Linked DNA regions of Macaca fascicularis. The protein of the gene in region 2 interacts with the protein of the main gene of each other region in a pairwise test. Links are inferred from orthologs where the notes say so. Each region holds a gene or a part of one and is shown on either strand. Other genes may lie near its edges. The genes, in order: HNRNPUL1, DZIP3, ZNF24, ATXN1, HNRNPF and ZCCHC10.

What was found.
Region 1: the proteins of DZIP3 (region 2) and HNRNPUL1 interact in binary tests that used the Homo sapiens proteins (3 or more experiments, as listed by UniProt). The link is inferred for Macaca fascicularis from reciprocal best matches to the Homo sapiens genes DZIP3 and HNRNPUL1.
Region 3: the proteins of DZIP3 (region 2) and ZNF24 interact in binary tests that used the Homo sapiens proteins (3 or more experiments, as listed by UniProt). The link is inferred for Macaca fascicularis from reciprocal best matches to the Homo sapiens genes DZIP3 and ZNF24.
Region 4: the proteins of DZIP3 (region 2) and ATXN1 interact in binary tests that used the Homo sapiens proteins (3 or more experiments, as listed by UniProt). The link is inferred for Macaca fascicularis from reciprocal best matches to the Homo sapiens genes DZIP3 and ATXN1.
Region 5: the proteins of DZIP3 (region 2) and HNRNPF interact in binary tests that used the Homo sapiens proteins (3 or more experiments, as listed by UniProt). The two-hybrid records come from large-scale screens. The link is inferred for Macaca fascicularis from reciprocal best matches to the Homo sapiens genes DZIP3 and HNRNPF.
Region 6: the proteins of DZIP3 (region 2) and ZCCHC10 interact in binary tests that used the Homo sapiens proteins (3 or more experiments, as listed by UniProt). The link is inferred for Macaca fascicularis from reciprocal best matches to the Homo sapiens genes DZIP3 and ZCCHC10.

What each region holds. Positions count from the first base shown.
Region 1 is NC_088393.1:48,413,676-48,417,175, reverse strand, and holds part of HNRNPUL1 (heterogeneous nuclear ribonucleoprotein U-like protein 1), read right to left. Parts: intron 2,526-3,500; coding exon 2,452-2,525; intron 707-2,451; coding exon 567-706; intron 1-566.
Region 2 is NC_088376.1:174,503,227-174,507,357, forward strand, and holds the start of DZIP3 (E3 ubiquitin-protein ligase DZIP3), read right to left. Parts: upstream 2,801-4,131; 5' UTR 2,228-2,800; exon of another isoform or gene 2,189-2,227; intron 1-2,188. Other genes in the region: protein CIP2A, read left to right, coding at 2,918-3,019. UniProt on the Homo sapiens protein: E3 Ubiquitin ligase proteins mediate ubiquitination and subsequent proteasomal degradation of target proteins.
Region 3 is NC_088392.1:54,500,749-54,505,044, reverse strand, and holds the start of ZNF24 (zinc finger protein 24), read right to left. Parts: upstream 2,801-4,296; 5' UTR 2,704-2,800; exon of another isoform or gene 2,099-2,703; intron 812-2,098; exon of another isoform or gene 1-811. UniProt on the Homo sapiens protein: Transcription factor required for myelination of differentiated oligodendrocytes. Required for the conversion of oligodendrocytes from the premyelinating to the myelinating state.
Region 4 is NC_088378.1:156,606,963-156,610,462, reverse strand, and holds part of ATXN1 (ataxin 1), read right to left. Parts: coding exon 3,175-3,500; 3' UTR 1-3,174. UniProt on the Homo sapiens protein: Chromatin-binding factor that repress Notch signaling in the absence of Notch intracellular domain by acting as a CBF1 corepressor. Binds to the HEY promoter and might assist, along with NCOR2, RBPJ-mediated repression. Binds RNA in vitro.
Region 5 is NC_088383.1:52,687,173-52,691,395, forward strand, and holds the start of HNRNPF (heterogeneous nuclear ribonucleoprotein F), read right to left. Parts: upstream 2,801-4,223; 5' UTR 2,746-2,800; exon of another isoform or gene 2,341-2,745; intron 1,393-2,340; exon of another isoform or gene 1,326-1,392; intron 1-1,325.
Region 6 is NC_088380.1:139,543,285-139,547,243, forward strand, and holds the start of ZCCHC10 (zinc finger CCHC domain-containing protein 10), read right to left. Parts: upstream 2,801-3,959; 5' UTR 2,789-2,800; coding exon 2,748-2,788; exon of another isoform or gene 2,744-2,747; intron 1-2,743.

The DNA.
Region 1 (3,500 bases), on a different chromosome or scaffold from region 2:
CAGCCTCCCAAAGCGCTGGGATTACAGGCGTAAGCCACCGCACCCGGCGAGAATAACCTGTTTTATCCTGTACTCTTCTGTGCTGTCTAAACTTTTGTTAAACATGAGCATGTATTATTTTCATAAACATAACTTGACATGGAACGGTGCAGAGATCACAGCAGATGCTGGCCTAAGCTGGCAGTTCTTTGCCCTGTTTTCCCTCTGGCCTCCCTTTACTAAGTGACACCTGAGTCTATTCTTTCTAGATCACTTTTCTTCCAAACAACGTATTTTCTCAGTTCTACAAACATGTCATCACTACACTGGTTGACTATACAATACCTGGGTCAACTCTCACCAAGGAAATATCTGCTTGATGAAGCAATGTATGGTTGGCCTGCTTTTCTGATATGATATTTAGCAATGATGTAGTTCTCTTGAGTTCATCACAGTTTTGTCTGCTTGGACACAGTATTGCACGATCCAGTCTCTTTTCCAGTTGTAGCTCTGACCAAGGTGGCTGGTGTCAGGATATTACAATGGACGGACCTCTCTGACCTTCCCCTTCTCTTGTTCCTACTCACCTTCATCTCGAAGCACACACGGCCCCTTCTGACCCCATAGCTGGCACGGGCTCCTGACCACAGGTAGGCAAAGCCCTCAATTGTGAGCGGATAGCCACTACTCCGATCTCGGGCCACTTTGAAGTGGAGGTCGCAGTTATCTGTGAAGGAAAAAGCCCAGTTGGTTCATGTTTTTGTTTTGTTGAGACGGAGTTTCGCTCTTTTTGCCCAGGCTGGAGTGCAATGATGTGATCTTGGCTCACCCCAACCTCTGCCTCCCAGGTTCAAGCGATTCTCTTGCCTCAGCCTCCTGAGTAGCTGGGATTACAGGCATGTACCACCACACCTGACTAATTTTGTATTTTTTAGTAAAGACAGGGTTTCTCCATGTTGGCCAGGCTGGTCTCGAACTCCTGACCTCAGATGATCTGCCCGCCTCAGCCTCCCAAAATGCTGGGATTACAGGCGTGAGCCACCATGCCCGACCTGGTTGATGTTTCAAAAGTCCTAAGAAACAGGCAGAGGGAAGTTCCCCAAGTGCTGACCAGGAGTACACAAGTGAACACATCTTGGGGGCTTAAGCCATCCTCCCACTGCAGCCTCCTGAGTAGCTGGGACTACAGGGATATGCCACCATGCCCGGGTGATTTTTATATTCTTCGTAGACAGGGTTTTGCCATGTTGCCCAGACTCAAACTAGATTTTAGAATACAAAAAGGTTGATCACCACCACCATATATTCCGCCCTCTGTGCTAATTCTATCAAGTTGGGAACCAGACTTCTGTTTCCAACAGCTATACAGGGATCTGACCCTGATCCACACCTGCCACCCAGGAACCAATGCCCAGGTGCCCCATAGGCTCCTAATTCCTCTCATAGGCCTAGGATTTTCCTACTGTTGCTCTTACCCTTCTCAATATTCAAGCAACCAGTCATGCCTCCAAGAAAGCCTTTCCTGACCATCCCTCCCATGAGGCACTCTCCTTTCTCTGAAGGCTGACCACTGTGGTCGGTACATTTCCATTTCATCAGACACTGCCTCATGAACCACTGCCCCCCAACACTTTTTAAACAATGTTTACCTCTACTCTGGGTAGATTTTGTCTTTGAGAGCTTGCGATATTAGAGACCGTATATATCTTTATCTCTTACAGAAGCATGTAGCCAGTGCTTTATAAACATAAGCTTCTGTAGAAATAGATGAATAAATTGCTGCTTATCTTCTGCTCTGTTGAGAAGTGCAGTGTTCTCAGACCTGACTGGGCTTCTGGGTGCATATAAAAATTCAGATTCACAGGCTCTTCATTAGACTCTGACTAGGAGGTCTGAGGAAAAGGACCTTTATAAGAAATCCTCCAAATGCTCAGATGCGCAGCAAAGGTGAAAGCCACTTATCCAGTGGAAAGAAAGCTGAAGTGGAGGACAGACAGCAGGGTGGGCCAGGTTTGTGCCTCAGAGGACACAGTGACATTGGTTTCACCAAGAACGTGAGCAGCTGATGGAAACGGGAACTAGTTGTCAAAAGAGTTAAGTTTCCCCAGCAGCACTCAGATTCCCTTCCTGATTAGATGACAACCTCTGTGTGTACAGGGCAGTTCAGGGTTTTCCAAATTGCTCCTGTATCCACTGAGGAGTCTCCCTGAAAGTCCTCTGAGGTTATTACGGCAGAATTAACTGAAGGGAAGCTCAGAGAAGTAGAATGACTTGCCCAGGGTCCCACTGCTAGAGTTGGGAGTAGGTCTTCTGCCTCCAAACCAGGACTCTTGCTCCAGAGCTAAGCTGTGTGTCACATGTGGACTAACAATGTCTTTGGACGGTGCCAGGCAGGGATTCTGGTGAAGGTCAAGACACAATTTCCCCATACTGACTAAAAGGCAGAATTAGATGGGCACTCCAAAGACTTACAGGTGTCAATAGCAACAAGGGTATCATCAAAGTCATCTTCATCCTCTTCAGCAGGAGGCTGAGGAGAGCGGCCCCTGTGTTAGAAACGGGGGTTAAGTCACACAAGAACAATACATGAGCACAAAGGAAAGAAAATGAATGTTCTGCTATAATCTACAAGTGGCCTCCAGACTGCTTCCTGAATCTCCATTTCTTCCCACAGAAGTGGGCAAAAGAACTCTGGAACCATACATCCTTGCAATGAGAGCAATGACCATCAACTCCTAGGGTGGAGACAGGGATTGGAGAGGGCATGCTCTGCTGAAGGGGGCATCAGAATCATTTAGGGAACTTTTTTGCTCTTTTTTTACACCCTAAGATTCTAATCCATACCCTCTGCATGTTGACAACCACTTCCACACTGATCTCCGTTACTGTTTGGAGGCTGTGGTATCTCAAAAGGGTGCTGTCCAGGAAGGGGCATGTGCAAGAGCCTAGATAAATCCCAATAATTACTATCTATCCATGTACCAGGCTTCTTAAAATCCTACATCTGAGAGAATTTGAGATGACCCATTTTTTTCAGTGTCCTAAATTATAAATGATATTCATTTTCCTACCAAAACACTAAAAAAGGGACTTAACACTGTTGGTTTCTGCTGTACAGGAATGAGGAAGAAGGGTAGAAAGGTAGAGTCTAACTAACACTCAGGGTCCTGCCTGGACAGTCTGGGTGGTCACAGTGCACTGCATGCACAGATGGGGAGCCCATGCCCATTTGGCTGCTGACTCTCCCAGCAGCAGCCTTCCCTCTGGTGGAGGGCCCCTCTGGCCTCGCCAGGCCAGGGCTAACACAGATGAGTCTCTTTCCTGAAGAGCAGCTCAGAGAAGCAGAATGACTTGCCCAGTGTCCCACTCATGAAGGAGACTCATGAGACTCATCTTATGAGTCTGTGCTCATCACATGTTAAGTCCATTCTACGAAACTTTCCCTGCCAGCCCAGGATCAGAGCGAGTGTTCTTCCTCTGCTCTCCATCAGCAAGTAGCTTCTAGGCCTCTGCTCTGTGGC
Region 2 (4,131 bases):
ACCTATTTTACCTCATACATATTTCTCAAATTTGTCACCTCTTTTCTATCTCCACCTCAATTATCCTGGTTATCCTTTAGAAAGCTCCAGAAAATTAGTGTCCCTCTTTCCAGTCTTATCCCCAAAATCATATTTCATTTAGCTGCCAGAGTAATCAACCTAAAAACAAACCTGACTAGACAAGGTGCCAGTTTAAAATCAGAGATTGCCATGGACTACAGGATGGAGTCCAAGTTTAAGGATACTAAGGCCTTTGGTCATCGGGACCTAGACTCATCTGTTTTTTTTGTTTTGTTTTGTTTGACAGGATCTCACTCTGCCACCCAGGCTACAGTGCAGTGGCACAATCACAGCTCACTGCAGCCTCAAGTGATCCCCCAACCTCAGCCTCCAGAGTAGCCAGGACTACAATTGAGCACAACCATGCCCAGCTAATTTTTTCATTTTTTGTAGAGATGGGGTTTCACTATGTTGCCTAGGCTAGTCTCCAATTCCTGGGCTCAAGGTCTTTCTGCCTCAACCTCCCAAAAAGCTGGAAATTAAAGGCATGAGGCACTGCTCCTGGCCTCCTCTTCCTTTTCTTCCCTTTTTGAGGCCTAAAAGTATGGATCAGTGTTTTTCAAATTAGGATATGCAAGTATCTCTGATTAAAAATGTCAAGACTTATCACAGCTAGAAACGGTACATCTTACTAAACTTACAACATCAATTTTGGTGAAGATTTTTTGAGAAAGACATTTGATATTAAATACAGAAGAGAATGCAAAATTTGTATGACTGCTTAAGTCAAAATCCAACAAAGATGGCACTGATAGCAGGCAACTTTGAGCATTACACTGGGGTTCTGAATGGGGATGGTGCTGACACTCTTGTCAGTACAGATGAAAAGTCTAACACTATCAAACTCTGATCATTTGCCAATGAGCCACTGACTGTAACACTGAGAACTTAATTATGCCAGATGACAGCTGACACTTAATATTAATTCATTTTTTAACCATCTCCAAGACTGTATAGGACCTCATCTCTACTCCTCTCCTCCTCGTTCTTTCTACACTAGCCACATGGCATCCTTGTTGTTCCTGGCACACAGTGACCCACTCTAGGTTCTTCCTCTGCCATTTCCTGTCTAAAAACGTTTTCCCATAGAATACGGCTCCCTTTCTCAACTCCTTGAAGCACTTCCCCAGATGTTGCTTTCTTAATAAGGTCTATCCTGACCTCCCCATTTCCCTTATCAATTACCAACATTATTCTAGAGTAATAACGTCTATTTTCCTCTTTATATCATTTTCCTTATTTATTGTGCTTATTATTTGGTTCCCTACCAGAATGTAAGTTGCATGCCAGTAGTATTTTTGTCTTATTCACTGAATCTATTGTGTCTAGAAAAGTGCTTAGCACATTGTAGATTCTCAATGAATGCACAGTCCTACGAAACAGGTATTTCTCTTGGCCAGATTTTACCTAAAGAAGATTCTGAAGCAGTGAGAGCTTGCCTACAGTCACAGCGTCAAAGGCGGAGCTAGAATCTGTAAGCAACCTGGCTCTCTACTCTTCACCATTGCTGCATGTTACTGCGTGGTGCCTCTCATTTATGTGGTGAATTTCAAAAATACTTTTTTCTATGTTTCCCTTACTAAACAGTTCCCTCGCAGCAGGGGGATACTATCTTCATCTCTGTGCCCTGACTGGCAGTTTCTAACCCATGTTACACGCTCTATAATTGTCTACGGAATGAATGAAAGCATGAATGAACACATAAGCTGCCCAAAGATTTTTACATGAAAGTCCCAACTGGTTAAATCATTTTTACCTTTCAGATTTCGTTTTAAACTTTTTTTATAAAAAACAAAACTAAAACACCAAACCTGTCTTCAAAAATCTAGTAATTCACAAAATGCTTTTTGAAGTGAAAAAACATGATTTCTAAAAAACGATTTAATTAAATGGAAATGTACCCTATTCTAAAAATTTCTACATTCCGGTTTTTAAAGCTTTATTCGACGTCAGGAAATATCAAGCAAAAACCTCCAAAACCAGTAACTGACTCGCTTCATTATATACACATGCAATAATATTAAGTTATCTCCGATCAAAAAAACGCAAATAATAGTGCCATTTTCGTAGACATTGAGAATTATAAAACAATCAATCATGCCAGAGAGAAACAAACACCTTCACTTACAAAAACTGACGCTAACGAAAACACCCTCCGGAGCAATACCTGGCCCAGGGTCAGCAGGAGGTAGCCTTCTCGAATAAATGTGACAAATACTATGGTCAGGGCATGACTAATTTGCCACATAATGCCAACGTCCATAGGTTGACTCTGAGAAACTACCATCCCCGGGCAGAAGGGGCGGGTGGAGGAGAGATTTAAAAACGAGGCCCCTCCCAGGCCGCCTCAAAATCTAGGGCCCAAAGATTCTTCTCCTCAGAGCTCCTCACCGTGTCTAGACTAGGGGCAAGCGACCATTTCTCAGGTAGAGGATGACGCACAAAGGAAAAACTGGCCATCCAGCATGAAGGACGAGGAAGCGCACGAAAACAGAGCGCACAGCTGAACGAGGAATCCACTTCGCCTAACCGATTCCTCTCCCGAGAAATCGCGAGATTTCTCGCCTTCACGGGATCTCAAGGCGAAACCTCGCGGCCTCTCAGACGAGGGTGGGTTAGCAGGGGCAGCTCCCAACCCCCGTCCCGGACCCACACAACACCTCGACCCCTGGCCCACCCCGGCAGTCACCGAGAACGGTCCCCCAGAGTGCCTAGGTTCTTCCGGAGCCCGACCGGATCCGGAAGCTTCTGGGAGCGAGGGGGTGGGACCGAAAAAACTCAAAAAAAGCGCGGCGAAAGCTAAAGGCCGGCGCAGGCTGAGAGGTGGTAGTCCGCAAGCCGGGCCGCGGCCGGTGCGATGGACTCTACTGCCTGCTTGAAGTCCTTGCTCCTGACTATCAGTCAGTACAAAGCCGTGAAGTCAGAGGCGAACGCCACTCAGCTTTTGCGGCATTTGGAGGTGAGAGGCTCTGGGGTGGAGGACAGATGGGGCTTCCCTAGTAATTCTTAGTTCACAGTGAGGCCGAGGAGTGGCGGCCTCAGCCTGGGAAAGAAAGGACGGTCCTTCGATCCGTCTGTTGTCTTTTCGTACTGGTAAAGGCGAGTGAGTGTCGGGGTTCCGCCGGCCGCAGCGAGAGGCAAGAGCGCCCACTGAAGGCTCTAGGAAAAGTGGGAGTGGGGCAAAAGGTTGGGAAGTTTAGGCTGTGTTTCGAGTAGGTAACGGAAAAAGCTCGGAGCTTTATCTTTTCCTTTGTTTCTAGTTTTGGTTTTTCTACGAAACCAAGCCCTCAATACACAGCTATTCTCAGTGACGGAAAGTCATGATTAAAACTTGGTTTTGCTCTTCGGTAATCTATAATTGAATTTGTTGCTTCCTGCTCTTATTTGAACTCGGGTTGAACTCAAACTTGAAAAACATTACTTCAACCTTAAGAAGCAGTTCCCCTTCCTAGTAAGCGTAATCCTTTTTCTTTACCAAAATACATTGCTCACAGTTTTTTAATCCTAGAATGCTGAATTGCCTTTTTTTCTGTTAGTTCTAGTGATATGTGTTCAGACGATACCATTTGTTTTAGGATCTTAATCTTCTGCTGTCATTTGTTTTGCATTTACGGAATTCAGACTAACATTGACCTCAGTTTAATTTTTTTAAAGCTGAGTTAAGGCTTATTTTAACTCTCTGTGTCACGGCTTTCTTCTGTTAAGACAGAATTGAACATAATTTTAAAATATATTGTATTTGTTATATTAACCCTATGACAAAAGACTAATGTGACAAAGATTTGTAAAATATTACAGAAAAAAAAATGATTTCAAGTAGTAGAGCAACAGCAGGTGTTAGTGAATCTGCTGTGGTATTAAATGTGTCTGTCTTTGTTGAGCTTCACTGGTGCTCCTCTTCTCCCTACTTCACGTGCCCATCTCCTAAGTACATTTGTTTTCTCTTTTTCATTCATTACTTAGGAAGTATCTGCAAACCTAATAATTAAGATGTTAGCTATTAAATGCTTAAGGCTTTGCTTCTGAATTAGCATAGACTCCAGAAGCCGCAGAATAAGCAGGGCCGTCAGT
Region 3 (4,296 bases), on a different chromosome or scaffold from region 2:
AGTGCCTTAGGGAATGGAGCTCTCTAAAATCAAATGAATACCTAATGATATTTAGGGAATGGAGCTCCCCAAAGTCAAATGAATACCTCATGACAAGTGAAAATGATACGAAATTAACATGAATGTGTCCATAAAAAATTGTACTTACTCATACTTCACGCTACAATAGCAGAGTTGAGTAGTTTCAACAGACTAGATGGCCTAAAAAAAACCCAACACAGTCATGCACTACAAAATGATGTTTGGAGGCCGGGCGCGGTGGCTCAAGCCTGTAATCCCAGCACTTTGAGAGGCCGAGACGGGCGGATCACAAGGTCAGGAGATCGAGGCCATCCTGGCTAACACGGTGAAACTCCGTCTTTACTAAAAAATACAAAAAACTAGCCGGGCGAGGTGGCGGGCCCCTGTAGTCCCAGCTACTTGGGAGGCTGAGGCAGGAGAATGGCGGGAACCCGGGAGGCGGAGCTTGCAGTGAGCTGAGATCCGGCCACAGCACTCCAGCCTGGGCGACAGAGTGAGACTCAGTCTCAAAAAAAAAAAAAAACAAACAAAAAAATGATGTTTGGGTCAATGAAGGACCGGTCAATGAAGGACCACATAGATGACAGTGCTCTCATAAGATTATAATGGAGCTGAACAATTCAAGATTCACCTAGTGACACTGTAGCTGTTGTAAGGTTAATGCATTATTCACATGTTTGTGGTGATGGTGGTGTAAACAAACCTGTTGTGTTGCCAGTTTAACACATACAGTTATGTATGGTACATAAAACTTGATAACAACAATAAACGACTATGTTACTTGTTTATGTATTTACTATACTTTTCATACTATACATTTTAGAGTGTGCTCCTTCTACTTATTAAAAAAAAAGTTAACTGCAAAATGGCCTCAGGCAGGTCCTTCAGGAGCTATTATAGAAGGCACTGTTATCACAGAGATGACAGCTCCATGCACGTTACTGCTACTGAAAACCTTCCAGTGGGACAAGATAGGGAGGCAGAAGGCAATGATATTGATAATCCAGACCCTGTGTAAGCCTAAGCTAATGCATGTGTTTGTCTTAGTTTTTAACAAAAAAAGTTCCAAAAGGAAAAAAAAATAAAAACTGGCTAGGTGCAGTGGTTCACATCTGTAATCCCAGCACTATAGGAGGCTGAGGCAGGAGGATCACTAAAGACCAGGAGTTCAAGGCTCCACTGAGCTATGATCGCACCACTGCATTCCAGCCTGGGCAACAGAGTGAGACCCTGTCTCTAAAAAATGAATTTAAAAATAGCAAAAAGCTGGGCCTGGCGCAGTGGCTCACACCTGTAATCCCAGCACTTTGGGAGGCTGAGGCGGACGGATCACGAGGTCAAGAGATCGAGACTATCCTGGCCAACATAGTGAAACCCTGTTTCAACCAAAACGAAGGTTTGCTTTATTATTATGTGCTTAAAAAAATTTTACCACTTAAAAAATAAGGTATTTAAGAACTCCTTGGACTTAAAATATATGTGGAAAAAATGTTCACTTGCTGAGTAACAGATCACATAATATTGAAAAGATCATATGTGAAAAACAGATCACATATTTTGAAAAATTATCTTGCACATAATACGTAAATATTCAGTCTTCCACCACACCATACGTACATTTATATTTATAATGATAGGCATTAATCACAGAAAATTCTATTAAGAAAAGGCACTCGCATTAGCACCTTAACTTCTTGCAGTGGTCCAGTGTCTTGTCCTTACACTGGATGACTCACAGTTTCCCCAGTTCTACCTTCAGGGAAACTGTATGCTGTTTCTGGACCTTTATTATTTGCACTATCATGCCCGTGCTGTTGTTTACGACACATACTAGCAATGAGCCATGCAGCCTATGAACAACAACTTAAAAAAACTTATCGTAACCCAAGCAAGATGAAGACTGGAATCAGAAAAGGCCTTATCAGACAAGTAATACATACTGGTTTAATTAAATACCCTGGAGTGTGGTGGCCTTATAAATAAGGTCTAGCCAACATTGATTTGTGCCTATTCCAAGACCCTGCTTATCAACGGTGCAACTATTTCTACATATATTTCTCTTCCTTTCATGCTGTAGAGCATACTGCTTGTGGGAAATGGAGGGAAGGCCAACGGTCCCGACAATGTTTGGTCAGAGCACCTCGTTCCAGGTGATCGCCCACCTTACTGCTGCATAGACCTGCTGTGTACCCCGATCCCGGCCAGTCCTCTAGCCCCTCTTCCCAGCACTCAGGACAGCGGATTTCACATGACCAAAGACCACCCTGTGACAACAGCGTCGGAACCACGGCACTTCCGCCTGCGGCCGGTGGGACTACAAATCCCAACAGCCCCGCGCAAGTCTCGCCCCATACCACCTCCTCCCAACACGACTCCCAGAACCCTCCGCGAGACGCCAGGGCCTCGAAATAGAACAAAACCGGCCGGTGGGGGAGGGGGAAGGTGAGGGTCTCGGAGGACACCGGGGGTTAGAGAGCACTCTGCAGACGCCGAAGACCCAAGCAAGCCTGCCGCCTACCTCTCCCCGCCCCACAACTGCTAGGCGCGGAGAGCGCGGCCTATTCCCCGCGCCTCCCGGGAAGCTGAGGAAGGTCCCGGGAAGGCTTCCCCGCCGACTCCTGCTAAGAGGTCCGCAGACCCTAGCCCGGTGTCCCCCTCCCTCCCATAACGTTCCCCGCACACCGGCGCAAACCTCTGGCTCAGGAACCGCAGCAGCTTCGCTGTCCACGGCAGACGCAGAAACACCGTTCACAAGCCTTTTCCCAGAAGCCCCCGGCACGGGCTGCTTCCGGTCTGCGGGCCTGAGGAGGCGGGGAGAGGTAAAGCCCACGTTGCCATGGAGAAGCTCCCCGGGCGGGGGAGGGGCGGCCCCACGACAATGACCGCATTGAGGCTGCGCTTGGCCTCGCGCCTCGAACAGCCTAGCGTCCTCTGGACCGTTTAAAAGAAAAGTAGAGGACTCTACCATTAAGATAGTCCTTACAGTTTCGCAAGCCCTTTCACGTGCATTATCTTGTGGATCCTCTAAGTAATTCCCTGCAAGAAGGAATAAAAGCGAGTATTTGTGAAAGCTTACTACATTGTGCCAGGCGCTCTCGTCGTGCTTTACATGTCATTTATTTTTTCACAAATAAATGATGTAGGAACTTTCATTATCCCCATTTCACAGCTGAGATAGTTGAGGCACAAATACAGTAAGTAACTTGACAAGAGCTCACAACTCATTTGTGGGTAGCAAGATTTGAAACCAAGACGTGATTCAAATCTTTGGCTCCCACTAGTTATGTCACGGAGCTTTATTCTGACCTATTTGTCAGGAAAACTAGATGAGACAGGTTAAGGGTTTTGGCAACGATGTCACGGTGAATTTGTAGAATGCATGGTCATCTTCAAGCTGGGCATTTTATACCATAAAACAGCTGCTGACGCAATCATTTATTACAAATCAGACCACTTCACTCCCCTATTTAAAGCCCTCCAATTTATGCCATAATAATTTATGACATAAAAACTCCTTATAATGTCTTGTAAGTCCCCCATGGTCTGTTGCCTGCCCGCACCCCCAGACCCTGGCGCCCCCAGTCACCTCAGCTCTTCAGCTCCGTGTGGCCCAAGATCCTCAGCCTCACCGCCAGCCTTTCATGACACATGACCCTTCATGGCACTATTATTAATGGAAGTGATCTCATTTATTTACTTGTTTTTTGTTTTGTTTTGCCTTTAAGTCCCTTAAGGGCAGGGACCTTGACTGTCTTGTTCACCACAGCATCCCAGCCTAGACCCCGGAAGCTGACTGCCTGGTAAATAGAGAACACAATAAATGTTTGTTGAATAAATAAATGAATTGTGGGATGGTTACATCGCTGCCTTTAGTTAGGTCACATGATTGGCATCAGACACCACACAAAGGAGCCCTGTTGTTTAAGGACTGGTCAAAAGTGTAGATCCAACCTAACATAAGCATTTCAAGTTCCTCAGGCTTTGACTTTTTGCCTCATTCGGGAAAATGCCCTCTGCAAAGTGCCGTCAGGCTCTGCTGGGTTCGTGCATGAAGACAGCAAGTAAGCCAGCAGCTGATGGTATACCATTGCTTTTCACTCCGACCAGAGCCTTTCTCACAACCCGTGCTAACACTTCTCTCTTCATTGCAGGAAGCTTCAGAAATCCAGCCTTTTCACTCTGCTACTTGGATACGGCCCCCAAGCAGCTTGGCTGCTCTTCCCAACTTTTCCCTCTTTTCTGATTCATAAAGGCTAGCTGAAGTCATTTTTGTTT
Region 4 (3,500 bases), on a different chromosome or scaffold from region 2:
CAGAAAAGACCGTGGAAAATGGGTTAACTCCAGGCTACATGGCTCCAGAGTGCGTCTTAGAAATGAATCTGCCTCCTTCCTCTCCACACTCCACATTCACTATTCCGTGTGGTGACAGGGGACACTGCGGCTCCTCCCCCAGGTCTCCTTGGCTGGCTCTTTCTGCAACGTGGCGGCAGACGCGGGGCTCCTGAAGGCTCCCCGCCCCAGCACTCAGCATCCGCAGCCGGGGAAAGGTGGGAAGCTCTCTCCCTCCTGGCTCCTTCCCTCCAGCCCTGCTCTGGCCAGAATGGGAAAGACCAACCAAATAAGGAAAAAGCCAAAAAGGAATGAGCTTTAACTATATAGCACACTGGTCAGACTCTATTGGCACAGAAAGTATTGCACATGCTAAAAAAGCAAGAGAATGAAATGGGACAAGTGTTTAGAAAGAACCAATTATTTTATAATTCCTATACCTGAAATAGAACCACAAAAATTATGATGATGTTCCTATTGCTCCAAACCACGTGTGTTTTCCCATCTTAGTGTTGGTTTAGTGGATCCAGTCAGTTCAATACTCGAAGTAAGCCAAAAGGTGGTGTGTGTTTTTCTGAGTCCACATGAGTTGTAAATAGTGATACTAATGAGAACAAAGTCTATGTGGCAGCCCGTATTCCTCTTACCATCAAAGGTTAAAAAACAAAAAGAAAAAACAAAACCTAATAATTGCAAGTGCCCTGAGCAGAATATATGGAAGATTAAGCAAGTTCTCTGAACAGAAACGTTTAAAAAATACAGCACTAAATAAGCAGTATGACTGCAAGAATGAACCCACCCAGCTCTCTGCAAGCATGCTGAGAGGGTAATGAAATTCGAGGAAAGTCAAGAAACTATTCTAGCTATTCTAAACCTATTCAAATGTTTTTGGTACACCCCAGAAAATGGTTTACAAAAATCATTAGTCCTGGTGAGCCTTAAATGTAAATGAATACTAGACAGCCAAAATGTGGGTTGATACCAGATTTTTTTTTTTTTAATTTGTGAAATGAAGGAAGTACTATTTTCAATGGGGTAAAAGAAAAATCAGGTATTTGTTTAGGTTAGTTGCAGCCATCCAAGTAAGAATATTTAAAAATTTCTCCCTACTTATAAAACTGTTTTTTTAAAGCACTTTAAAGATGCATTCAAAACCCACAAATGATATTTCAGATCTCTGGGAATGAAAGGTTTAAAAACTATGAAATACCCTTTCTGGGTTTGTACCAAACATTAAATCTTGATTTGATTTTGAATAGAAAAAAAAAAAGTCATTCTGAAAATAACATTAATAACAACAATAATAAAATAATTGTTTAAAACAAAATCTTGCTCACATATATAAATGTCTTTATGGAAAACTCTCTCAATGAATCTGAAGAAAATTCTCAGAGTTTCTAAGAGCCTGCTAAGACCTGGCTTTTTGTGACAGATGTGGTAAAAAGACCAAAATGAATTTTCAAAGGAACATAACCTTATAAAATGGCCTAGAGTTTAGGCAGGTTAGAAAGAAATTTTGCTACATTTATTTATGCTCGTTCAGTCCCCCAAACCTTTCCCACAATGTTATTGGATAAAAACTGCAGGAATATCACACAAATTATAAACTCAATATGTGCAAATCGCAAGGTTCTTTAAAAGTTCATCTTAAAAAGAAAAACACTGGACAAAAATGAGTATTCTCTTCTCCATCCCTTTTCTCTCAGTTTCTCTGCCAACTCTGCATATGCCTTGAACTGATTCTCAGACATCAAAGTGAAAAGTGCCTCCCGTCAGGTAGTACTTGGTGGTCATTTATTGTCACATACTAGTTCATAATTCACATTCATCCCTTTAAACCACATTGAAACTTTCAATATCTTGCTCTTCAGCAATTCTGCAGAGCTGAAATGTAGTTACAGTGTTGAAAAAAAGAAAGCAACTTAGTTTTTTTTGTTTTTTTGTTTTTTGTTTTTCCCCAAAGAGTTTAAAGTGAGATACAGTACTTGTTGAATGAGAGACCAAGATGCTTGGTAATAAAGTGTGAACAGTATTTTTAAATGCTTAAAGATAGTAATATATGCTCATCTTCAAAATCTAATTCCTCATGTCACACTGGAATCTGAAAAAAAAAAAAAGTGGCACCCGAGTTGTCCATAGTCATGAACTATAAACAGTACTAGAGTTCAAAGACAAAAAGATTTTGCAAACTCAACGTGAAGAGCTTCTGTGGCTCTCACTGAAGGGCAGTTTGCATCTACCTCTTGGGAGTGAAGTCAATGCAATAACCTGATTGGTTTACCTAACACTGCACAGAAACCAGCGTGGGTGTTCGCTCTCTCCCCCGCCCCCACCCCCAACCCCCCTTACCCCATGTGGGGCCATGACAGCAGGGGCTTCCCTGTCCACCACAACACCCCGGTGACATCGCTGCACTAGTAAAAAGCAGAAATGAAATCCCGCATGTGGCAGTTGCTCTTTAAAAAAAAAAATATATCAGTGCAGTCAGGCCCCATAGGGGGAAATATATATCTATACAATTAAAAGTTGCTTTTATTGTAAAACAGGTTGGAGAGAAAAATGTTCTTTTAAATGGTTAACTTTCCAAATCTGCCGTCTGACGCGCCTCCGCGATGCCCTGAAGCTGGGTTCCTGATGTTGATTTTGCACATGGGAACCCCAGGAGGACACTGCTCTGAACACCCCGTCCCATGCCGATAGCAAGAGAGTGAGGCAGAGGGAGGCAGAGAAAAAGAGACCCTCACTCGCCGCCACAGCACCTGTGCACCCCCACATGCATGCACCCCTGCACCCCTGCAGGACCCTTCCCACGGGACTTTTCTCCTGACACTAGCGGGAGTCAGCGCCCCTGGCTGCTTCTGGGCCGCTACAGAAAGCAGGCGCTGTGGAGCCCGGTTCCTTTCTTCCCCGGGGATGCGTGGAGCCCTGACCGCTCCTGCTGTGCCCTTCCTCCCGCCCGCTCACTGACAGACACTCGTGGAAAAAGCATATGCACCAGTCTCCTGCGACACACCTGCTGTAACTCTAATGACAAGGTTAGAACAGAAACCTAAAATAAGAGGATAACATGTAAATACTGTGTTATTTAGCCTACAGTACAGTAATCTGGATACAAATGATAAGGGAGAGCCACGTTTCCTTTCCCCCACGCTGCCTCTACTTGCCTACATTAGACCGGCCTTCAATGCAAATCTTAACCTCCTGAGGAATTAGAGAAGGCTTAGGAAGAGTCAAAGGTGGTTCGTCTTCTGACTTCTCCAGTTTGCGGCTCTCCGGCGCCGACCACCTCCTCTTCCTCGTGGCCGCGGGCTTGCTGGGTTCTATTTTGGTGAGGAAGGGCGCTGCAGGCAATCCCATTTTCTCTGGAAACTTCAGTTCGCCATTCTCAGAGAGCATCTGGGCACTCCCCTGGTTGATTCCGTTTTCCTGCTCGGCATACCTGTGTCTGCTGCCCGCCAGGCCGTCGGCCTTTGAGTGCTTCA
Region 5 (4,223 bases), on a different chromosome or scaffold from region 2:
GCTCACGCCTGTAATCCCAGCACTTTGGGAGGCAGAGGCGTGAGAATCGCTTGAACACAAAAGTTTGAAAATCAATCTGGGCAACACAAGGAGACCCCATCTCTACAAAAAATACAAAAATTTGCCAGGCGTGCTGGAGAATGCCCGTGGTCCCAGATACTCGGCGGCTGAGGTGGGAGGACCCCTTGAGCACAGGAGGATCTCGGCAGCGAGCCGAGATCACACCATTGCACTCCAGCCTGGGCAACAAAGTGAGACCCTGTCTCAAAAAATAATATATATAATATATATATCATTTTATAGAGACGGGGTCGGTCTCTGACGCCCAAGCGATTCTCCCACACCTCGGCCTCCCTAAATGCTGGGATTACAGGCGTGAGCCACCTCGCCCGGCCGGCAGTGACTCTAATCTACAGAATGCACACCGGAATGTAATACCTACAAGGCAAAAGATCTTTTTGCTTAGGAATAAAGCAATCTCTCTCTTTACATTCATTAAAGTAGTAATGTCTTATTTTATAAATTCTGTAAAAGCAACGAGTCACTTTTCAGGGATAGCACTTAAGATATCTTTCACCTACCTAGAGAACCCAATGAATTTTTATCTTACTAGGAATTCAGAGACAACCACGTATCTAACTTTTAAAAATATAAGTAGAAAGAATTATATGTGTATATTTTTGGAAGAATTAAGATGACTTTTTGAAAGGAACGACTGAAGACAACACTTTCAGAACTCCCTGCCGCCTGAGGCTGTGGCCCTGACCCCGGCGCAGCGCCCGCCCCGCGCGGTTCCGGGAAGCCGCCGTCGCCGCCCGTTGCCCTCCGCGCGCAGCCGCCAGCGCGCGCCTCCTGTCCCGCCACGCAGATGGCCGGCCCGAGCCCCCAGCGCCCGCAAGCAGTTTCGAAAACTAAAGAGGCGCGTTAGCTCGTCCCCGGGCCGCTCGGAGACCGAAAAGCCGCAGCGAAGGGCGCCCCGCGGGCAATGGCCGAGCTCGGCTCTCCTTCCACCCTCCAGCCGGGACACACGCGGAGCCGAGCGGGGATCCCAGGCACCTAGCGGGAGGGGTCCCCGCGACCTGGGCGGTCTGGCGGGGAGGGCGAGTCGGGTGCCCTGCTCCTCAAAACCCTGGTCCACGACTCTGCGGTTGGGGGAGCGGGGCAGCCGGCGCAGCAGGAGCCGGGCCCCGTCCTCAAGTTTCCTAGGAGCAGGGCGGAATCGACGAAAATGCTTCATACACACAAGCAGAAGGGAAAAAAAAAAAGACGACTAAGCCGAAGAGCGCGCACGAGTCAGATTTTCACCCCAGATACAAACACGGTACCTCTAGGAGCAGGAGACCAACACAGAGACCGCGCTACGAGGACACGCGGCGCCGCCGAGGAAGAAAATGGGCCCAGGGCAGAGAGCTAAGGCTCCGGGAACCGGGCGTGGGAGGAGGGCGGAGCCAACTCCCCACAAGGAAGTCTTGTGCAACTCTCAGGCGCCTACAGCCACGTGAGCGCGCGGCTTTCATTTTATTCAGGTATTATTACTACTGTTATTACTTCTGAGACAAGGTCTCACTCCCATCGGCCAGGCTGGAATGCAGTGGCACAGTCACTGTCACTGCAGCCTTGACCTCCTCAGAGCAAGCAACTCTCCCGCCTCAGCCTCTCGAGTAGCTGGGACAACAGGCGCGCGCCACCACACGTGGCTTTCTTTTTTTTTTTTTTAACTTTTTAGCAAAGACAGTTTCACTATGTTGCCCAGGCTTGTCGGGAACTCTTGGGCTCAAGAGATCCTCCCGGCTGGGCCTCCCACTGAGCCAGGCCTGTTCTCACTTTCAGAGCCCTCCGGTGGTCGCCAGCGCCCGACCAGGAGGCTGAACTAACGCACCGGCCGGCCGTGTCTTCCCGGCAGCCCCTGACTCCAAAATCTCAGCCCGCGGTGCTCACCGCGTGGGACCACTATCTGGGCGTGCGGCTCTCGACCTCCGACACTGCGTCTCCCGATCCCAGGGGGTCCAGTTCTCGCCGGTCCCACGTACCGGCCCCTCGACCTCGAATCCGTCCCCCAAATCTCAGCGCCGCGGCCCCTCATTATGTGCAGTCCTCGATCGGTCCCAGATGCGTGGCGCTTAAACTCAGATCTCTCCTCCCTGATCCCAAATCCCAGCCCCAGCCCCACCCACCCCAATAGGCCCAAACCCCAGGTAGTCCGGGTACGGGGCCCTGGACTTCGGAAGGTCTCCCCAATCTCAAATCCCAGGCCCACTGTCCACACCCCCAGGGGGACCCGGTCCCCGCTCGGTCACGGGTGTGCGGCCTTCGACGTCGGAGACTTCGGCCACCCCTCACCTCGGCCTCCGAGTCTCTACGCTCCCGCTCTCACATCAGGCACCCCGGTGGTCCCTCGGAGCACCTAGAGGAGGGTGGGACGCGGGGAACTTGGCAGTTGTAGCAGAGGCAGTTGAGGCTTGTTGACCATCACCATGGAAACCCCCGGCTGCGAGCACGGGGCGGGGCCTACGAGGGGCGGGGTCAGGCGCGCTGCCGGCCCCAGTCCTTAGCGCCTGCCCGACGAGAGCACGCGGCTTTGCCGGAAGCCCTCCTGCTCCCGGCGTGCCAGGCCCCGACTCGGCCCTACTCCCCGGCTCGGCCCTTTGCCCTGAGCACCCGGAAACAGAAGCCCAAGGAGCCCGCGTCCCCACCCCGCTGCTACCTGCCGGCGTGACAGCGATTCAGTGCCACCCCGAACCCCACCTTAAGGAAGACGCGGCGCAGTCCTGCTTCCACGACGGAGCCGGAAGGACGCAAGGACCGCGGTAGGGCGGAGCTTCTGCGTCTTGCACCCGGGGGCGGGGCCGCGACGGCGCTACTGTGACGCGCCCAGAGCGGAGCTACCGGTTGGCCGGCCGGGCGCGGAGCTGAGCCGACACTGGGGGCGGGGGTGTGGGGGAGGCGGCGGAGGCAGACTAGCGAGGACGTTTCTGGAGAGGAGAAGGGAGGGGTGGGGAGGGGATGGGGGGGAGGAGAAGGGAGGGGTGGGGAGGGGATGGGGGAGGAGGAGGAGGAGGAAGTGGAGCGGCGGGAAAGATCCCTCTGACTGCCCCTGAGGCCCTGGAGGAAGGCCACTGGTAAGCCCCGCAGGACACTGAAATGTGCGCTCAAAGGACTCCTGATTTGAAGACTAGGATGGGAAAAGGAAATGAGAACCATGGCAGGCCGTGGTGGCGCAAGCCTGTGGTCCCAGTAATTTGGGAGGCTAAGGCGGGAGAATCGCTTGAGCCCGGGAGGTCGAGGCTGCAGTGATCCGTGACTGCTCCACTGCGTCCAGCCTGGGCGACAGAGCGAGAGGCTGTCTCAAAAAATAAAATAAGGAAAGAAGTACACTGAGGGCCGGGCGCAATGGCTCACGCCTGTAATCCCACCACTTTGGGAGGCCGAGGCGGACGTATCACGCGGTGAGGAGAGCGAGACCATCCTGGCCAACATGGTGAAACCCCGTTTCTACTAAAATACAAAAAATTAGCCGGGCGTGGTGGCGCGCGCCTGTAGTCCCAGCTACTCGGGTGGCTGAGGCAGGGGAATCGCTTGAACCCGGGAGGCGGAGGTTGCGTGAGCCGTGATGGCACCACTGCACTCCAGCCTGGCGACAGAGCGAGACTGCGTCTCAAAAAAAAAAAAAAAAAAAAAAAAAAAGTACGCTGAGTACTCCAGAGATCGCTTAAAGGCGTCTCAGAGCGGGGCAAGCGTTAGGAGGGATTTGTCAGGTCGAAGTTGCTCACGTGGTAATTCCGTGGTGTGAGAAGCCCCCAAACCTCAGAATGTAACTCAGACCCAGGTCGAGGGCAAGGTTTTCAGTCACAGAGCACCTGAACACAGAGATTTGGTGGCTAATGGCTAAGCCAGGGACAGATTTTTTTTTTTTTTTCTCACGCTTTGTAAGGCTAATAATTATAATCATTTCATTTTGGTGGACCTTCTTCATGAAGAGATGATGTCAAGGCACTCATCACAGGTTAAGCTGAACATTATTACTATTACTATTTCCAGACTGGGTCTCTCTCTGTCAGTCAGGCTGGAGTGCAGTGGGTACAATCACGGCTCACTGCAGCCTCGACCTCCTGGGCTCAAGCAATCCTCCTGCCTCAACCTCCTGAGTAGCACCACCACTATTGGCTCAATTTTGTATTTTTTTTTTTTTTGAGACCGAGTGTTGCTCTGTCACCCAGGCTGGA
Region 6 (3,959 bases), on a different chromosome or scaffold from region 2:
GATGAATATAAAATGAAAAGTAAAGGCTCCTCTCCTGCTTTCCCCCCAAATACATTCCCCAAACTCTCTTGGACTTCGCAAGCCTCTAAAGGCCCTCCTTTGCTGAATCCCTTGGAGACTTACACTCTGTGTAAGTCTGTCCGGAGCTGCACGCCCCGGCCATAGCGAATAATAATTAAAGATTAAACGCCTGAGCTATATTCATTTCCACCCCACACCTTCTCCCTAGATTTACCTTCTTCCCTGTATTAATACCGCCATTAAAAGATGGCGCTCTTCCTGCTTCTTCTTCATTCATTTTTCCCACACCCGCGAAAAGACTACCTGACTGCGCAGGCGCAACATGACGTCCGACCGGAGAAACCGAAGCCTATCTGGCCACACCTTCCGCAATGAGGTCATTTCCGCCTTAGCCCAACCCCTTCCCCTCCAAATGTATATAAGGCATTGCATTACCACCATTAAACGAGACTTGATCAGAGCACTGTCTTGTCTCCATTTCTCCTGTCTCTTGTTCCCCAAATTCCCACCCCCTCCTCCAGGGACTGCTCTGACTATCCCGTGGGCCGGGATACGTGGCGCCCAACGTGGGGCAGTATACCACAACGGTTTTTACAGTATGCCACATGTTTGCTTCCCAACAGGACCAAAAGCTCCTTAAAGGTAAGATTTGTCTTTTACAAATCATGTAACTCATGTACCAAATACAGACACATTGTAGATATAAAACATTTAACTTTTGATACTTCTGAAACAATAAATAGCAGTATTATTCAGATGCTAAGTCTTATTTTCACTTCATATTTAAAGTGGACATTAGTTTTGCCAATCCTGCATTCATTTACCTCCTCTGACCTATCTACCCTGGTTATCATTGGCTTATGGTCATCCATTCAGTTGTACTGAAAGGAGAATAAGATCTCTAAATCAATCAGATATTCACAATCCCACAGGCATAGTTTAACATTGGGCATGTAATCCAATCTAGACCAAAGAAGTACAATCAACTTGAAGCTGAGAGAATATAAAGGACCCTGGATACTGCAGCCATCTTGGGAGCAAAGAATAGAGCCTATTCAAATATGGAGCCAACAACCAAAGAGCAAGTGTGAGAGACAGACAGGGAGAAACGGAACCTGGTGACATCATTTAGCACTCCCTTTAAGTATTATCATCCCATTTTTGATCTCAGAATTGTCTGACTTAATGGTAGGCACAGTGGCTCATGCCTGTAATCCCGGCACTTTGGGCGGCTAAGGTGGGATCACTTGAGATAAGGAGTTCGAGACCAGCCTGACCAACATAGTGAAACCCCGTCTCTACTAAAAATACAAAAATTAGCAGGGCATAGTGGTGGGCACCTGTAGTTCCAGCTACTCGGGAGGCTGAGGCAGGATAATCATTTGAACCAGGGAGGCAGAGGTTGCAGTGAGCCAAGATCACACCACTGCATTCCAGCCTGGGCAACAGAGTGAGACTCGGTCTCAAAAAAAGAACCGTCTGACTTCAAGCCTTCTTTCTTCACCAAGCTTACTACTCTAACTCCCTAAGTCTGTCTGTACATTTGAGGAACTCTTCTTATCAGGCCTGAAAGTGTAGATGGAAAGGAAAAGAGAAAAAAAGGGATTATTTGAATTAAAAATATATAAAAAGATATAAATACACATATATATACTAGCAGACTTTGAGCTATATATGGACATGAAAATGGAGATGGCATGAAATATTTTATGAAAAAGAGGCAGATGTTTGGATGTGCAAAGGCTGTGCAAAAGCTTTATAAGAAAGGGCATCTGGGGTGACCCTTGCATTATTTGTCAGGTGTGAATCTCTTCTGCCACTCTCTCTTATTCATTAGGCGTAATGGCCATCTTTCAGTTCTTTAAAAAGTAAGTTTCAGCCTCAAAGCAATTATGCCACTATCCGGATGCTCTTTCTCCAAATCCTCTTATGACTGTTAATTTTTCACCCTTTAAATCTCTGTTCAAATTCCACCTCTTCAGAGATGCCTTTTCAGTCCAACCAACCTAAAGTGGGCCTTTCTCTCTTTCCATCACAACAGTTTGTTTCCTTCAAAGCTGTTATCACCAGCTGTATTTACATTTAGTAGTTTATCGACTGTTTCCATCACTAGAATGTAAGCTCTCTGAAAGCAAGGATTTTTGTCCTAAAAAACACCTCTTTTTCTTTATACCCAATGTCTGGCACAGAACGGTAGGTACTAGATAAATTAATATTTATTGAAAGAATGAGTACCAAAAAGTGATAAGATAGCTTGGGAGGGCAGTCGGCATTGTAGGCAGGATTCCTAGGGAAGGCGCTAGAATAAGGAAGTAGGAAAAGGCAGCAGGGATGGACGCTAAATAGGAAACTGAAGGTTTACGTCGGCCGGCATAAAGGTGTCGGACCGGGGCTTCAGGGCTCCCTTGTCGACGCGTGGGGTTGGCGGAGGGGCATAAATCACTGAGTGACCAACTGTGGGCGTTCCCTTCAGAGAAACCAAACGCGACAGTTGTCTTCAAACCCCGCTCTGTCCCGTGCCGCAGACTTTACACGGCTGTCTTCCGTGAAATCGCTAACCCACGGTCACCAGACTTATCGCTCGGGCCCGAGCCCCTCGGGAGCCAGAAGCGTGTTTGAGAAACAGACATTCTCCGCCGGTCCCAACAGGGGTCCGACACTAGCCCGTTGACGCGCGTTTCACCGCTCCCAGCCCGCCGGTGGGCCCGAACCGGATCCTTACTTACGCTTGCCTCCGAGCTATGAGCCGATGCATGGGAGTCGCCATCTTAGCGCGGTCAAAGCCGGCCGCGCAGGGTTTTGGGAAACTCCTCGGAAGGGCGGGGCTTCCAACCGGCAGGCCGTAGACGTAGGCGAGGCCAGACAGGCCTCTAGGGGTTCTGGGGCAGCCTCCGCGGCAGGATCTCAGTGCCGGCTCGGGAGGGGAGGGAGGGGAGGGAGGGGAGGGAGGGGAGGGAGGGGAGGGGAGGGAGGGGAGGGAGGGGAAGGAGGGGAAGGGAGGGGATGGAGGGGAGGGGAAGGGAGGGGATGGAGGGTCGGAAGAGGAGGGGAGGGGAGGGGCTGGTGGATCGGGAGGGGCCGGTGTCTCCAGTGTGGGTCTCGGGTTCTCTGGCGGAACCGGGTTTCAAAGGATGATTACAGGCAAGAACATTATCTGTGGAAAATGAGGACCACATTCTCGAACGAGGGATACACATACAAAGACAAAGAATGAAACTGTGGTGTTCAGAAACTTAGAAGTAGTCTGGAGAATAGAAAGGAATTAGTTGACCAGCAATTGAAAGAATGACTTTAGCAAGCCATAGAGTGCAAACATACACGTTATTTCTGTTTTGTATGTATTTCACAGGGTTGTTACAAGTACTAAATGGGACTGTGTAAAGCTGCTTTGTCAAGCAGAAAAGGACTATACAAATATTTTACAATATTTTAGCTGCACCTACATCTAATGTCAGCTCACGGAGCTATTATTCTCTTAAAACACGTTCTCTGAAATATATATAACTTTCTGAAGTGTATGTGTGTGTGTGTTTCCGGGTCATCCATATTTTTTCCTTTTTTTTTTTTTCCATTTGAGACAGAGTCTCGCTGTGTCGCCAGGCTGGAGTGCAGTGGCGCCACCTTGGCTCAGTGCAACCTCCAGGTCCCTGGTTCAAGAGATTCTCTTGCCTCAGCCTCCCGAGTAACTGGGATCACAGGCACACACCACTATGCCCAGCTAATTTTTGTGTTTTTACTAGGGACGAGGTTTCACCATGTTGGCCAGGATTTTCTCGATCTCCTGACCTCATAATCCGCCCGCCTCAGCCTCCTAAAGTGTTGGGGTTACAGGCTTGAGCCATCGCGCCCAGCCATATGTTTTCAATTAATAATTAACACTTAAAATGTTTTAGGAGCTGAGGACAGAGCATTTGAACAAATAAAATCCGTGTACACAT